3 linked regions of the Schizosaccharomyces pombe genome follow. The protein of the gene in region 3 binds, or shares a complex with, the protein of the main gene of each other region. Each region holds a gene or a part of one and is shown on either strand. Other genes may lie near its edges.

Region 1 (6,180 bases), on a different chromosome or scaffold from region 3:
ACAAATTGAAAATAAGGGAGAAATAGATCACTTAACGATAGTTTTTTTAGAATGATATGATAGTAGGTTTGGCATGTAGCTCAACTGAATGTATTTTTGAATAATTTAAGTTGAAAGGGAAACGTTTTTAAAGCTTTGAAATATGCCGATAACCTTTATGGTAACGTCTCAACTTTTAAATAGAACAAGCGATTTCTCCGAGCAACAAAAAGACGAAAATAAAAGACAGTCTTATTGCTGTACTTGTAGTTCAAAACTGTGTCCTAGTAGAGTGCTATTTCCTTGTTTTTCTACTTCACCTAATATGGTGGTTGATTGCGGGCTCAAATCCCTTGGGGGGCCTCAACACCATCAGACTAACTTCGTTCACATTAGGTCTGAAAGTATACAGGATCCTTGAGTTCTTTATATCATCATACAATAAATATAAAAGCAAAACTGTGTCTTTTCTAGAATACGATTTGTATGCTTTTTCCAGCGTAATTCCGCTTAAATTGGGATTATGAAACAGGTACGTTTTTACGAGTCTTACGGGCCTTAAAGTGATAATTTTATTGTACTTCGATAACTAATTAATATTTTTAATTAAAAAGAAGGAGACCAAAACCAGTCAAATTGCTTTAGTCGATGGTGAAAAATTATCGATAACAGATTCTTTTGCCTCCCTTTTTACTCTAGACGAAGAAGAAGAAAACGACTCTGTAGACAATGAAGAGATTAAGTTAACAAAAGAGAAACATGAAAAGTTACTTCTTTTATTTTGGTTGCATTGCAAGTTTCCTAATGGATTAGAATGGCTTCATTCATCAAGTGATCTTTTACCAGAGCAAGTTTCTGAGTGGTTTAACTTTTATCAAAAGTATCGTTTTAAAAGGTATGTCTCATTGAGTAACTTTTTGTATTTTCCTCAAATGTACAACTAACATGCAAGGGGGCGAAATTTTAATCTTTCAGCTAGAGAATCTGTAACTCCTATCGTTGAAGAACCGATAGTTCCCGAAGAACCCGATAATTTGGAAGGAGTTTCAGAGGAGACACCTTTAAAAGAAACTTCCCTAGAACTTAGCGAGGAGGAAATTATAACGTCAAAATCTCCCATACCTTCACCTGAAACTATACATAAAAATATTGACGTAGAAGAGAAAGAAACTATTGAACCAACAACACCCGTAAAAGAAGTGGAAACCACTGCTCATGCTGAAGAGGAAAAAGGCCCTTTGACGCCAGATAGCGAGTATGCTGCTCGACAGCTTACCGAAGAACTTGCAAACAAATCCTCTCAAGAAGAAGGAGTCGATAAGCAATTAAGAGTGGTTGAAGCTACCGAAAAGGAACATGAGGAAGATGGGAATGAAGAAAATGTGACCGTTACCAAACCGGTAGAGGTTGCGACTGATCAAGTTGAGTCTAAAGAAGTGAAAAAGAAAGAGGTATCAGAGACAACGGAACCTACGGCTCCCCCTGTCACTGTTGCAGAAGTTTTGGAAATTGAAGATAAAGTCCCAAAGGTTGATGAAGTTGAAGAAGTTCATTCTCCTGAAGCCAAGGTCACTGAAAATGATGTTGAGAATGTACAATCAGGTATTGATATTGAAAAAACTATACAATTATTAAATAATCAAGAGATTCCTTCGGAACAACAAATCATTTCCGTTGACAAGGCCACTGAATCTCCTGTTCAGGAAGTAGCGGTTGATGTCAACGAGAAGCCAGTAGATGAAATTGTTGAGCCTAGTAAATTACAAATGGAAAATAAGTTACCATCGGAAAAATCCCCTACAATTGACAGAACTGGGGTTGAAGCTCCGCTTTTTGAACTTTCTGTATCTATGCCACTAACTTTAATTCCTCCTTCAAAATTTTCTGAACCGGTGAAACCAGAGCTTTCCTCAGAAGCATGGCTGCTTCGAACAGAAATGTCGCCTTTACATTTAAGGTTGAAAAATGCACATAAATATGTTCTATCAGATAACTGGTCTCATGCGTATCGCGAGGAAATTGTACGACAATCACTACATCATTTAACGGTTGCAAAAGAAAAAGGTATTTGGTCCTTTAGACAGCCCAAAAGACAAAACGAGATGCCACGATTGAAAACTCATCGGGATTATGTTTTGGATGAGATGCAATGGATGTCAATTGATTTTTCTCAAGAGCGTAAATGGAAAATTATATTGGCTCATAGAATGGCGAATTGGGTAATGGATTACCATCAAGCTAGTGATAAATGTACTGTTTGTACTCCGGCTTCGTTGTCAAAGAATAAGAAGCCGTACATGCAAGAGAATGAACATCAGAAAGACTCTCACGAGGAAACGTTTAATGAACAAATAGTGAGCCATTTTAATCTAAATGATAATAATAACAACAAAGTGCTCTCTATTCCCAGGGATTCTTTACAGTTTTATAATGCTGTTTTTTCGGATGATATATTTGTGACAACAAACTCCGAACAAATTCAGAACTGCGTTTTAAACGTTCCTATGTACGGTCCTCCTACTGAAAACAATGAATATTGTGAAGAAATATCTGAAAAGTACCCGATCACTCCTGTGTCACGTTTTGCATATGCCAAAACAAAGCTTAAATCCACCTGTGCAAAGGCTTCTAGGAAACGTTTGTTCAACCAATTGGAATTATCACCACCTGAGTCGTTTATGGAAAAGAAGGCGAGAAGCGATGAGAACCAGCTAGATGGAAATAAAATTAAGGATGATAATCAGAAGCTATCCTCAGTAGGAACCTTTAGTGTGCGGCCTCCGTATCCGCCTTCTAGTAAAGATATTCGTCCAGAAGCCCCTTGGTTGCCCGAAGAAGATGAACTCCTTTTATTACTCTTGCGACGATATTCCTTTAATTGGGAATTTGTTGCCAGTAGGTTAACACCACCAGGTTTGTACATACCGCTTGCCGAGAAGCGGACTGCGTGGGATTGTTTTGAAAGATGGATTCAAGTGGATCCCAGAGCCGCCAATGTCCAATTGACTGGCTCCCATGCAAGACTCGCTCAGCAGAAATTAGATGAATCCTTAAGACATTCGGATAAAGTTAGCCAACATCTATCCTTACGGGATGAAGGAACACCTAACCATTTGATTAAACATAATTCTTACTTCTTATTGCCAACTGTATCAAGACATTACCGACCCATTACTATATTTGAAGCTATACGAAAGATCCTTAAAAAGAGAGAGTTTGCTAAAAAACCCACTATGACCAAGAGAGCGATTGCACCATCTGCAGCTTCAACTGAAAAATTGCCGCCGGTTCCTTCCCCTCTCGAACTTTCTCGTTTGAAATCTGAGCGTGAGGCACAAATACAGCAAATACAGGCTCAGAGAAACTTTGCACAATTGCAATCACAAAACAGGGCTCTACGGCCGCAAAACGCCGCTGTTGCTGCTGGTGCACAACAACACAACCAGCAACTAGCAGCCTTTCAAGCTGTAGCTGCTTCACAAAATAGTAGTAACAATTCATCAGCGGGTGTCTCGCCTATAGCTGGTAGAATGGTCCCCAGGCTTCAGCCATACGCTGTTTCCAGTTCTTTAAAACTAACACCTGAACAAATTCATCAGTTGCAGCAAAGGAAGCAAACTGTACCTACTACTGAAAGGACACAGTAAGTATCGCCTCAATGCAATTTTTCGATTTATTGTATTTTTTTTGAGTGCTGTTGTATATTAGAAGGAAATTACGAGGCGAGAGCTTTTTCTCTCACACAATAAAAATAGAATACGTTTTCATTTTCGTATCCCGGTTGTTGGTTTTTTAACAGAATCAAGCAAATCGAGGTAATACGAAGTGTACATGATAAGTGAAGTTTGATTTCATAAACGTTATTTTAGCTAATGAATATGTTTTAATTTTTGAAAGACAGACACCATTCTCGGTAGACAAAAACTCCATGTGATGGGCCTTGTAGAAGCGGGCGACAGTGTCATATAACCTCGTCGTGGGACTTTGTTTAGCTTCTTAGCAGTCTTTGCATTCGTCCGAGTGTTCTGTCCATTAACGGGTAACCTGAAATATTCATTAGTTAAGTTGAAAAAGTTGTCGAAGACAGCTACGTTCACAAATGATCTTTTCATACCCGTTTACATGTCTCATTCCCCGATAGCATCGGATATTCACCAATCTTGAGATATCAGCATTCCGTTGACGCCGTAAGTCACCTTCAATAGTCATTCCTGATAGCAGTTGCGACAACGTTGTCAATTGAACATTTGTCAGCTCTCGAACCCTTAACGTATTGTGAAATGATAATTTTGCGCATATTTCTTCAGCCTTGGCATGTCCAATTCCATAAAAAGAAAGTAGAGCAAACCGCACAGGTTTATCGTCGTTTACAGCCACTCCAAGTATGTATACCATGATGCAAAATCTCAGATATCAACAGATGAGACAGAAACCAGCTCAATAATGAAGTGGACAATTTGGTTTTGTAATTCAGTTCTCTATCAGTAATCAGAGAGCTTAAAACCGTTCTGAATATAAGTATTAGGCTTTCTTGTAAAAGAGTGGAGTGGTGGTGTTTAGATATAATACACAGTTGGATCTCTCATATTTTTAGAAAACTAGTTAGATTGTACAGACTCCGGGCCTAGTAATAAAAGACAATTTGAGTAATCATTAAAGAGCTACTATCTAAGGTGTAATTTGATGTTTAAGAAGACCATAAATAGGGCAAGGTAAGACGAAGAAAAACAAATAAAGAAGAGATATCGTCAAAGGCCTTCCTTTTCTGTTCAAATTTTAAAATTTATGAACTCAAATGATCCCTTCGTTCAATGGTCTCAGTTTAAAATTTATTATTGAAAAATATATTCACGACATTACTGTCTCTTACAAAGTTGAATGTTCAACAGTACATGCGGAAGTACAGTAAAAAGTTTTGGAATAAAATTTTATATATTCTAACAATGCTTTGCGGATCTCAACTGTCATATATATTTCAAGTGCAGCTCCTTTACATTGCTATGCTTGTGCAGGTCCTAGGCATTTTAAATGAGCAGTAGCTTTCCGCATTTCAATTGAAACTTCAGTGCTTTCTTCTTATATGGGATATGACTAATTTTATCGCTTAACACAATTGGTAGTGTTCATTTTTATTATTACTTAAGCAATCCGCAAATCATGTGGTTTAATAGTCAGTTTTTAAATTGATGTTTTATTTAACTTTAAAAAACAAAGCAACTGAAAGAAGTATAGTACTGTAGATTTCAGTAATATTGTAACTACTATACGTTTTTTCTTTTTTTTTTTTTTTTTTTTTTTTTTTTTTTACAATATGAAGACTAAGATGAAAATTAAAAATATTATTGCGAATAGGAATACAGATCGTATGGTAAAATAATAGATCGAAAATAGCAATTAATTTAAAAAATTGCTTCACATGGCTTTGTAAAGATGTGTGGGCTAACATACTAGAAAATAAAAAAAATATGAAGATAAAATGAGTTTAGCTCTCAAATTTGGCAGTAATATTGACATCTGTAATAGTGGAATTCTCTGGGACAGTCATGATATAAAACTGAAGAAAGCGATAGTATTCTTCATCCTCTTCCTCATTCTCTTCATCTTCTTCAGTGCGCTTTTTCAAGTTGGGTCTGTCAGGATTAACAAAAGTGTTCCAACTTTGGTAAGCACGAAGGAAATCAGCATAAGTTTTTGCGGGAGCAGCTTCGAATTCGCGCTTTTTCAAGTTGGGTCTGTCAGGATTAACAAAAGTGTTCCAACTATGGTAAGCACGAAGGAAATCAGCATAACTCTTCTCTGGGGCAGCTTCAAACTCACGCTTTTTCAAATTGGGTCTGTCAGGATTAACAAAAGTGTTCCAACTTTGATAAGCACGAAGGAAATCAGCATAAGTTTTTGCGGGAGCAGCTTCGAATTCGCGCTTTTTCAAGTTGGGTCTATCAGGATTAGCAAAAGTGTTCCAACTTTGGTAAACACGAAGGAAATCAGCATATGACTTGCTAACTGAAACCACACCAGGATCGGCAACTGGAATAGGTGAGGCAGCAGCAAGTGAGAATAAAAGGGCAATGACAGCGGTGATCTTCATAATGTATGTGAAAAAAATAAAATTTCGTTGATAAGTTAGAAAAAGAAAGATAGTTTAAGCGATGAACTAGCAAATAAAAGAAGAAAATTATAATTTGTTGACTGATTCAAAAA
Region 2 (5,096 bases), 360 kb from region 3:
GTTCCTTCATACGTACTACTGTTTACCGTTTTAGGATTTTTTATTTTCATTCTTTTAGAACGAATCGCTGAATCCGAAGCTCGTAACTCAACGTCAGTTAGCGGTGGCATTTCTGCAAGGGAACAGCTTTTACGTCGAGGAAGTTTTTGATTTTACAACTTGAGTTCTAAACACCGGAGAGAGCAGTATCATCTCCTGTTATATTTTTCTTAACAAAAGTTTTTTGTATGCTTCTAAAGTCTGTTATTACTTGTTTGTCTTTTTTATTAAACACTTCGGAATTGACTTCAGAGCATTCAATATTATATTTCAAATGTCTACCACAACCATGAATATAGCTTCGGCTCCAATTGAAGTGAAACGGATATATTGGCCCAAAAGTACGATCTCTTATACCGATTCTGGTTACTTAGTTGGTTGGAAGTACTCTACCAACGATCTTATCGTTGTGACAACAATTACTAGTTATCAATCCTTCGCTAATTTTTTAGTTGATTATTGCAAAAATCAAGATCAATCAGTAGATATTAAATCTCTGTGTATATTAGGCACGTTTAATTGCTCTGCCGATATTTTGCCGGGTGACAAATATGAAATTGATTGTTGGATCAAAGTGCAGCAATCGACTGAGCTTTCTCATCCCCGAGTTTTCGATTCGGCTAGTACGCCTTTAAAAATAAATCTGCATATAATTTATTATCATCCTCCGCAGCCAAGAAAAATGCAATTTCTTTCCCTTGAACCTCTATCGCTTTTATTGTTAAAAGATAGTTTTATTAACAAGTCAAACCCTGAATACGAAAGCATGCAACACCAGCAAATACTGTTAAAAAAATTGAAATTGCACTTTCCCCGACGCAAAGAAAATAGCTGGAAAAGGAGTCTACGCTCAGGCTTAATTGAGCTTCTTAATCAATCCTTCGAGGTTCGCATGTTAACACATGAAAATAATAACAAAAAAAATTCATATGTTTTTCGACTTTTTGATCGTGTCTCGTCATCAACCTTTTATTTTTTTAATTCGCTGTTTGCTTACTTTATCATATTATTGAGGATAATTAATGAGGTTATACTCTTGGCGATTAATTACCGACCGATTCCTTTATCTTATAATATGATGGATATTTTCGTTTCTGCTCGTCAAGTAGATTTGAGGTTGCAACAAGCGTGTTTTTGGCCTGTACAATATATGAAATTATGGGTTTTTCGGAAAAGCAAGCGCGTTGCGATAGAGGATTACAAAGAATATATTAGATTCTATAACAACCTTTGGTTGGTTGCGAATGACATGATCTTTGGGATTACAATGAGTTCATTTATTTTAGAGAATCTTCATCTGGTGGTAAAATTAATAGAAAATATCACATTCGAGTATGCGATAAAAAACGTTCGTTCTATGGTTATATGGCTCGTGGATACTCCTGCTGGATTAAAACTAAACAACGACATTTGCAAGTTTATTATGAAGCTTTCTGTATGGGTTATTGACGTATGGAGTAATTTTCTTTTGCATTGTTTGCCTTGGACTCCATTTTTGGTTCAAGTTGTCGCTATTTCTGGGTTTGGGGGTGCTAGTTTAATGATCGCTTTAATTTCTGATTTTTTAAGTGTTATGACTATTCATATACATTTGCTTTATTTGGCTTCATCACGTTTGTATAATTGGCAGCTACGTGTAATTTATAGTTTGCTGCAGCTTTTTCGAGGAAAAAAAAGAAACGTTTTACGAAATAGAATCGACTCATATGAGTATGATTTAGACCAACTACTTTTAGGAACAATCCTTTTTACGGTACTAATATTCTTCTTACCTACAATATATGTTTTCTATGCAGCATTTGCATTAACACGAGTATCCGTGATGACATGCTTGGCAATCTGTGAAACTATGTTAGCCTTCCTGAATCACTTCCCATTATTTGTTACAATGTTACGAATTAAAGATCCTTATAGAATACCAAGTGGGCTGAATTTTGAGATAGTCAGCTTTGAACCATTAAAACAAGACGGCTTCGCAACGCTATATCTCAATTGCAACTCCAAACCGATGTCTCTTGGATCCATGTTTGAGCATTATCGGAAACTGGCGCGTAGGTTAATTTCGCATTACCTTTCAAAAACTACTTTGATTAGTTTGCTCGTAGGTTGCCCAGTTCCAGCGATACCTGCTGAGCAACTCTACAATATCCAGTACGCTATGCTTCCGACCAAAAGAATATCTATTAGAAAACTGCGAGATCTTCTTTTTCATCAGAAAAAATTTCCTTACGACTGATCAAAATGTTAAGTATTGTTGCACACAGTTGATATATAATATTTTTTGTTTATGAAACAACAAAATTTTTATAATTAAACTTAGTTTATCAGTTTCGTTCAAAGCTGTTTAGCCGTTACCCATTTGATAATAATTGGAAAGAAAATGTGCGAAATGTAACCGCAAAGTATTAGAAAGGCACAATTTTCAATTATTTATTTTTCTAAACAGGAGTTAGAAGGTTCCTAATTCGGTTTTATAGTAAGCTTTACATACTTTTTGACTTGGAGGCTCCTTTTCCTTGGCGTATTCTCCTAGTATTTTAATTAGCTAATTTCTTGTGAAAGAAACATTCAATCTCAATTAACAACTAACATACCCTTTCCTGATTTCCATTCGCAATTCCTCATCACTATCGGGAAATGTTTTATCATTTAAAAGGGTCCTTAATTGACGATAATTGATAGTTGCGGGATAGTAGCTCTTCAGTTTTGCTCCCTTCAGCTCTTGTACTACAAATTTGCGACCCGTTCTCGAGTTGTTTGATTTATACTGAGTGCCAAATATTTTTGATGAGAGAATATTTAATTCTTCCAGGATTGCTTTGCTAGCCATGATTTTATACCAAAAATTAGGGAAGGCTCCTAGGGAATGTGGTTGCTTAAAGTTAAAGGCAAAACGAAATAAAAACAACAATAATAAGGCTAAAGACACTACTATGATTTCATCTGCAAGGATTCTGAAATTCTGTTATTGTAAGTATTATTAGCGCAAGTCTACTTAGATATACTACAGCGGATGATGTGGGATAAGTAGTTCATCAACCCCACATGGAAACATTTTGGTGCATTGACTAAAGATAGACCTGTAAATAGGTTTAGTGGGATCAAGTACTTAATATTCTACGCTTTAAGAGGTTACGAGTAGTTAAGTAGAGTATAATAGACACCAAATAGTTGAACATATTCATATAGCGTATTATTTCCATTAGCTGTAATATAATATAATTGAAGTTCACTGGCTTTCAGATTACGTTAAAAAACTTACACGAATTTAGTAATATATACAATATAACATATATTAAGGATAAACGAAGCAAAACTATCCTGAAAGGTAGATATACCAACCCGGATAACCAATTGGAAAGATGGTTGGAAAAATCATATCTTCGCAAATAATTGCAAAGAAATTAAAACCATCTAAGACCCACACACAATAATCTGAGTCATTAAAGACAAGCATCTTAGATATTTACACTTTGTAGATAATGTAAAAATAATAGAAAGCGAAATACGTAGATATCAACTATTCGGAAAAGGGAAAAGAGCGGGTTTTATTAAACAGATGACTCAACAATTGAGCTTGTTATTTAATATACAAGCATTTTTTAGCAGCAGCAACAACAACATCGGCATTTGGGACAGAAGCAGCCTCAACAGGATGACTATAAGGCATGGGAACATCTGCCATACTTACACGTTCAACAGGAGCATCAAGATAATCAAATGCGTCAGACTCCATAATTTGAGCAGCAATTTCACTACCAATACCATGTTGACTATATGCCTGGTCAACAGTCACAATACGATTTGTCTTCTTAACACTGGCCGCGATAGTATTGATGTCTAAAGGACGAATACTACGCAAGTTTATAACTTCAGCTTCAACACCATAGTCAGCCTTGAGCTTGTCAGCTGCTTCTAAAGCAGTAACAACAGAAATAGACTCACCAACGATGGTGATATCTTTACCGGGGCGCTCCACCTTAGCAAGGCCAAAGGGAAGCACAAAGTCCTCGCTCAACGCTTCTTTCGAAATTGGAAAGGTTTTACCATAAAGAATTTCGTTTTCAAGTACAACAACGGGATTAGGATCACGAATAGCAGCCTTCAACAAACCACGAGCATCTTCTGCTGAGTAAGGAGAAACTACTTTAAGACCAGGGATACTACCATACCATGGAGCAAAGTGTTGAGAATGCTGAGCAGCAACTGCAGCGGCAGGCCCATTAGGTCCACGGAAGACAATAGGACAAGCCTGAATACCACCAGACATGTACAGGGTTCTGGCGGCCGAGTTAACGATATGATCGATAGCCTGCATGGAAAAATTGAAAGTCATAAACTCACAAATAGGACGTAAACCAGCAAAAGCAGCACCTGTTGCCAAACCAGTAAAACCCATTTCAGTAATGGGAGTGTCGATAACACGTTTAGGACCAAACTTGTCTAATAAACCTCTAGATATCTTATAAGCACCATTGTATTGCGCAACCTCTTCGCCAATCAAGAAGACACGATCGTCACGTTTCATTTCTTCTTCCATTGCACTGTTCAAAGCATCACGAACGGTCATTTCCTTCACTCCATTGGAAGAAGAAGAATAGCGCTTTGCGATGGTTGAACTAAGAAGTTTCCAAGAACGACTGGTCCCAACAATTTCACCAAACTTTTGAAGACGAATCATTTTAAATTCCCTCAAACTTCTTTTTAACTTCGTTAAAAATTAGGGCTATCCCGCTGTGTTGTTGTATATGTGTAGTGGGCAAAGTAGAACAGTGTGATGGTAAAATATTTCGAGTTGGCTTATGGTACAACAAATTAAATACAGTACGTAGATGATTAACAAGAATACTACCACTTTTATAAATTTTGTGTTTATTGCAAATGACAAAAGAATGGTTAAACAGTCTGATATGATTATAACCTCTTAGTAGTATCATTTGTTTCATCTTATTTTTGCTAAATAGTGAAATGTGTACATACTGAAGCAGCTGCAATAACGTGCTTAACCGATAAAGATAATTTGTTATCACTAGATACGGTGCTCAAAATTGATTGCC
Region 3 (5,974 bases):
AAATTATCTAAAGGAGCTAGAGAAGAGACGTAAATGTTTTAAACTTTCATTAAAACAATATGTAAAAACCCATCAATGTAACAGAAATCTCGATTGAGCTCGTCTAAAACGCTCTGAAGAAAAATTGTAATACCATGAATAACTGGTTTAACTATTAAGAATTTATCACATGATGGAAACAAGTCGGGAAGGCGTTTATTGAGAAACTCACCAAGAGAACTACCAAGAGGTGCAGAAGTTTGTATAATAGGAGCATTGGCCCCTAAATAAATTTTTAAAGGAATGAATTTGGATTTTGAAAAAAGTATTTTTATAGCAATGGGACGGAAATCATAGTAATCATGATTGAGTATTGCATTCCAGTAGGTGTCTGTTTCTGCCTTTGAAAGAGCGATTATTCCAGACGAACTTCCGTTACGAACGTAATCAGACTGTAAAAAGTTAATATGGATTTACCCCTTTTGTAAATAAATCATATATGTTTTTGTGATAGAGAACGCACCTCTTTTAAGCAGTTGAAAAAATATGTTCGAAAAGTATCCATGGTTTCCATTTGAAGTATTTTGGTTGTAGGAAATAGACCTGAGCGCAATTGAATGCGCCATAGCACCGGCGCTCGAGGAGTATCCGGATCAAACACTGTTAACAAATCGAAAAGTAAGCCAACAGGCCAATGCCTATATTATGATTAATTTACGGAAAGTTACTTTGGGTAAACGATACCATTTAAGAGGAACCCCATTATAATCCAACCAACATTCTGATAAAGGGATTGAAGGTGCCAACAGACGTTGAACATTTGGGAGTATTTGAGCAAAATATGATTGTCGCGGGACGTTAGCCTTAGGTAGAATATGGTGAGCAAAAAGGAAAAAATAAATTGAGTTAAAGAATATTAAATTACTACTTGAGTGAACAAATCACATACTAGATAGGCCAGAGAATTACCTTCATAATCAATGCGCACAGAAATAGTGCCATTCCAAAGGAGCTCTGGAATATTGCCTTTATTATTATCGACATTCATTTTTAAAAAACATCTCCAATACTGTGATTAGAAATTGTGCTTTTGTTGTATACTTAACAAACTCGTGGGTGGTTGGAATGCGTTGATAAATAGCTTAGAGTCAGACATTCACTATAATTAGTTAAATTAATGTTTTTACAATTAAAGTAAGTGGGCTTTAAATACACATAGTAGAGTCTTCAAAAAATTCACCCGAAAATATAACTGGTAATTTATATGTTCAAAATACGAGTTCCTGCTATACAAAAACCGCAATTAGGAATTTGTAGATTCACTGTATTGATTAGTTAATAGACACGTAATGACTTTTCGGAAGTAGAAGTTTGAGATATTCAAGGGACTTGAAAGTTTGCATGCAGTAAATCTCATAAAAGAATTAAAAGCAAGGATTTATATAGCTAATAATTGCAGGCACTAAGCTTGACATGGTCGCACTATGAGTCGCTAGTACGTTTGTGAGACTTTCGCATACGTTCCAGAAACTGTACACAACTTATTTAAACAACCAAATATTTTTAAAACAATACTGGTAAATATGTTGATCTTGAAGAGGATTTTCATTATAAGAAATTTTATATTTCCTTTTTCTAACTGCCGGTATGCCTCTACTGTTCCTAGTCCAAGATCAGGTATGAGATTTCAAAACATTAGTGCAATTTAAATTCCTAACAAGATTCAGGGATTTCTAATACAAATGATTTCTTTAAAAGAATTGGAAGAGATACTGCAGAAAAAGTGAACGGAAAATTCGAGTCTTGGGATGGTCTATTTAGGAAAAGTACAAAAACTATGAAAAAGGAAGGTATTGATGTACGTACAAGGAAATACATTGCAAGCCAAAGAAACCGATTTAAAGAAGGGTTTATAGTTAAGCCATATCCAGTTATGGTTAAAAAGAATGGAGGTGAGCGACGCAAACGTAAATAATAAGTATATGGAATATTATATTCTTTTGAGACATTCTTTCTTCTTTTTGTAGTTGAGTTTTTGCTTGAGTTCGAATTAATCTAAAATTTGCTTAAAATAGCCAACACTGTTCAAAGCATGTCTTTTCTCGACGAAGATGTGGAGCCTAGAACGCAAAGCCGATTAAACAATTGTCCATGAAACCATTTAGCAAATTCTGGAGAATTTTCCATTAGTGCGGAATTGGCGCTAGGGTATTGTCTCCCTCTTTCCAAGTTATTTTCATTTGTTTCGTTCACGGGCTTCCATTCCCACTCTCCTGCCCAGATTAATTTAGCTTCAATTTTTTCTCTAGTCCTAATATATAAAAAATTTTCTTTTAGCTCCATTAAGTCTACACCATCGCTAAATTCCTTTAGGACTGATGTATACTCAATAACTTGTTGATCATTGCCGGATACCATCCAAACTATACGTATAGTTGGTATTTCTATTTAATGGTTATAAATTTTTAACTTCAGCTGCACCTTAAATCGTTTGTTAGCAGATTCTTTTTGAGTATGTGTGCAAAGGTATTCGTTTGCGTTTGCGTCAAAGGGCTTGGTCAATTAGATGAGCCAACTGTGGTAAATTTTTATGTTAGGTTGATATCAATATGAACAGCAAATTTACTCTAAATGTGTACTTAAAGGCATAAGGAATATTTATACTATGTCATTAATCTTCTAGTACTAATCTTGGGCATTCGTTTCTTTTGGCATGGAAATTCGCTGTCGCGTTATCACAAGCCCTGGAGAACTAATTTCTTTGACCGCATTAGTTGTGTTGAGTGATTCCTCATCATTTTTGCCTATTTTTTTTAACTCTAAACTTTCATGCTCAGTGAATACATCATCGAAATCTTTTGCATCCTGGATGGATCGTTTAATTCTTTTATCGCGGATTTGCATGTAACTAACAATACAAGAGCTAACAAAGACTATTCCTCCTACCACCAGCAAACCAATTAATCCTTTTATAAATCGAGGCGTATCAGTATTGGGATACATTATAGGTGCCCACCAAATATGCCAGATATTCTGACACATATTCATCAAAAACACAACAACTCCTCTTTCCTGATCATTATCCCGGCAAATGTCATTTGCCCAAGAAAACCAAACTGCTTGTCCAGCATATGTACAACCAGAAGCGAAATAAGCAAAGAATTTTGCGCCATCTGGCACGTTCCATGCTAGAAGTATTGTAGCAGAAACAGTAGTAATTACGCACAGAAAAAGTCCAAAAGGCCATCTTGGGTTTCCAGCTAATTTATCAGAAATAACACTAGCACCTAACGTTGATACTACGCCAACAGCTGTAATCACAGTTGGGTAATTATTTATTTGGGCAACAGAAAATTTGTTGCTCCATTTCATCCACTGACCCATCAATACATTGACAGCTATAGCTTGTGTTTCTCCGCTAAAAATCCAAAGGATGCACAAACCGTAAATTCGCCATGAACGTACAATATCCTTTATCGCTTTTAGCGTTAATGGCTTCTTCTTGGGGCGAGCGGGTAGCCTTTTGAAACTTAATTCTTTTTCTTGTTCTGTAAAATAAGGAGCCTTGGTTGTTTCTGGAACGTCAGGAAACAGAAAGAGCCCATATAATGAAAGAGGAATCGTCAAAATGCCATCAATTATAAAAAGCCAACGCCAACCAGATAAACCACCTTTACCATTTAATGATGAATGAACTGCTGTTTGCAAATACCCAGCAAACATTGTGCCGACTAAACCAGAGGCTGAAAAAATTCCGGCACGTTTGCATAGTTCACTTTCTTTGTACCATGCGCCCAATATATAATGCGTACCAGCAAATGTAGATGCCTCCGCAACCGCCATGAAAAAGCGTAAAATCATCAATGCTCGAACGGAATGTACCGCAAATGAAAAAATCGTCATAAGTCCCCATAAAATATTCATAACCGAAAACCAAAGTCTTGCTGGTACTCTCTGTAATGCATAAGAACCTGGCAATTGTCCTATAATGTATCCACATGTAAAAACAACGTTTATATCTTGCAATTCATTACCATGCATTTTCAAATCCTCTTGCATACCACTAAGGTATGCATTGTTTATTGATGATCTATCCAAGTAATTAATAAAATATGAAACGCAACAGTAAGAAAGTATGAACCAATCTATTTTTATTAAAAGCTTTTGTTCAACTTTGTTTAATCCATAATAAGGGGAAAAGGTTTTTGCCAACCTATTTAGTAACGCCATTACGACTTGTCTCACTTATGAAATATTCACGACAATTTACAGAGGAGACCTAACTTAAATTTTTATGGCTTTAGAAAACGTACAATTTCAATGGATTCTCATGAAAAGTGCCTATATTAAAGTAAAGCCAGGGACCTAAGCAAGGAACAAACACTTCGAGTCAAAATCGAATTGCAGACTGTTGGAATATCAATATGCTCCAGCCAGGAAAATTTTTTCTTTAATTTTTCTGAAAAATCAAGATTATAAGTATCGATCGAGCCTTCTAAAAAGTGACAATATCAATGCCGGAAACCCAATCTTAATTTTTAGATGTGCGCTGATTACTCGGAATTGGCTAGCAAGTTGGATACTTATTCTCGACGTAGCCACAATGAGTACTATACTTTGCTGCTCTATTTGTGGAAATTAACTGTATTGCAAAAAACATCTAACCTTTCAATTAATAAGCATTCGGTTCAAGTGGCTACAATACAATAACCACTATTTGCGAGATTAAACATACTATTACAGTAACCAACACATTTGAAATGTAAAAAATTGCCATAGTTGAAGCTATTCAGCGTCAGCGAACATCTTCGGAGAGCTCAAATAATCTTAGCTCTTAAGATGGGGGTTTTTTCTGCCGAATACTGTATCTGTTTGACTTTTATTTTTAATACGTTGGAGTAACCGCTGTATTCTTGTGCAACTTGGTGTTTTTGAAATTAACAATGGCACTGTTGATGAACGAAAGTGAATTATAATACATTTTTTGACAGTACCAATCTTATGGAAGTGCCTTGAAATCCTGTTACGTTACGTTTTAGCAAGATCGCTTCTCTTATGATTTTCTTGTTTCAATGGTTTTCTACCCATAATCAATGAAATATGTTTACAAGGGTTACGAGTTTTGTAAAGCAAATGCACTTTAAAAATTGACCAGAAACTTCCATATATTAGAACCAAAATTTTTTGGAATACATTTTAACATAGTAAATTAAAATAAGCCGTTTACTTATTCTAATTTACAGAAGCGCTTCTATAATGTTTAAGTAACGAACGTTTTTGTCACCCAACACCACCCAACTTCGTATCCCAAGATTTATAACTTGTTCGGACAAACATCGTTGGTAAAGACTTGCATCGTTCATTACAGAACGAATTTTATTATTTATAGTTCACATTTGTGAATCTTAAGATGCAATGTCTGCTGAGGGAAAAGCCAAGATCCTTGGCCTTAGTCAATAAGGACCATGCTCTTATGTTTCATTCGGTTCCTCAGAACAAAAACTCTTTATCAGTATGTGTTGCAGAATTTACGGCATTGTCAGAAAAGCCGTTAGAAGGATTTCGAAAAATCTCCAGTCATCGAATTTATGGTACTCTAGGTCTGATTGAATTAGAAGGGTCCAATTTTTTGTGCGTGATTAGTGGAGCTAGTGAGGTAGCACGTGTGCGAGATAAAGAAAGAGTTTTTCGTATCATGGAGGTCTGCTTTTACAGTGTTAATCGTTCAAACTGGGATCACATTCGACAAGAAAATTACTCGCCTGATATTCCGGATGGTTACGATACCGATACCCAAGGCTATGATTCTTACAAGTATGCCGCTGAACCATTCAGTAGTCTCAGAAAGCTATTAACAAATGGATCATTTTACTTTTCTCTCGATTTTGACATTACTACCCGACTGCAACTTCGTACGTCTCAAACAATGACGGAGCCTCAATATGATAGCATGCATACTCAATTTATGTGGAACGAATTTATGCTTAGACAGTTG

What was found.
Region 1: fyv4 (region 3) and sws2 share a complex: the UniProt entries of both Schizosaccharomyces pombe proteins name them as parts of the mitochondrial small ribosomal subunit.
Region 2: fyv4 (region 3) and rsm27 share a complex: the UniProt entries of both Schizosaccharomyces pombe proteins name them as parts of the mitochondrial small ribosomal subunit.

The regions. Positions count from the first base shown.
Region 1 is NC_003421.2:980,618-986,797, forward strand, and holds sws2 (mitochondrial 37S ribosomal protein uS13m), read right to left. Parts: upstream 4,538-6,180; 5' UTR 4,375-4,537; coding exon 4,094-4,374; exon of another isoform or gene 4,024-4,093; coding exon 3,849-4,023; 3' UTR 3,627-3,848; coding exon of another isoform or gene 932-3,626; 3' UTR 875-931; coding exon of another isoform or gene 594-874; 3' UTR 529-593; downstream 1-528. Other genes in the region: vid21 (NuA4 histone acetyltransferase complex scaffold subunit Vid21/Eaf1), read left to right, coding at 503-511, 594-874, 932-3,626; P-factor pheromone Map2, read right to left, coding at 5,462-6,067. UniProt on the Schizosaccharomyces pombe protein: Component of the mitochondrial ribosome (mitoribosome), a dedicated translation machinery responsible for the synthesis of mitochondrial genome-encoded proteins, including at least some of the essential transmembrane subunits of the mitochondrial respiratory chain.
Region 2 is NC_003423.3:3,070,167-3,075,262, reverse strand, and holds rsm27 (mitochondrial 37S ribosomal protein mS33), read right to left. Parts: upstream 3,010-5,096; 5' UTR 2,870-3,009; coding exon 2,634-2,869; intron 2,569-2,633; coding exon 2,531-2,568; intron 2,478-2,530; coding exon 2,470-2,477; 3' UTR 2,276-2,469; downstream 1-2,275. Other genes in the region: gpi1 (pig-Q), read left to right, coding at 314-2,275; pyruvate dehydrogenase e1 component beta subunit Pdb1, read right to left, coding at 3,620-4,720. UniProt on the Schizosaccharomyces pombe protein: Component of the mitochondrial ribosome (mitoribosome), a dedicated translation machinery responsible for the synthesis of mitochondrial genome-encoded proteins, including at least some of the essential transmembrane subunits of the mitochondrial respiratory chain.
Region 3 is NC_003423.3:3,432,164-3,438,137, forward strand, and holds fyv4 (mitochondrial 37S ribosomal protein mS41 ), read left to right. Parts: upstream 1-1,504; 5' UTR 1,505-1,562; coding exon 1,563-1,656; exon of another isoform or gene 1,657-1,706; coding exon 1,707-1,954; 3' UTR 1,955-2,064; coding exon of another isoform or gene 2,065-2,397; 3' UTR 2,398-2,664; coding exon of another isoform or gene 2,665-4,209; 3' UTR 4,210-5,345; downstream 5,346-5,974. Other genes in the region: autophagy-associated protein Atg5, read right to left, coding at 39-431, 503-677, 724-842, 929-1,027; SPOM_SPBC4B4.12C (uncharacterized protein), read right to left, coding at 2,065-2,397; plasma membrane pantothenate transmembrane transporter Liz1, read right to left, coding at 2,665-4,209; syj1 (inositol-1,4,5-trisphosphate 5-phosphatase 1), read left to right, coding at 5,390-5,974. UniProt on the Schizosaccharomyces pombe protein: Component of the mitochondrial ribosome (mitoribosome), a dedicated translation machinery responsible for the synthesis of mitochondrial genome-encoded proteins, including at least some of the essential transmembrane subunits of the mitochondrial respiratory chain.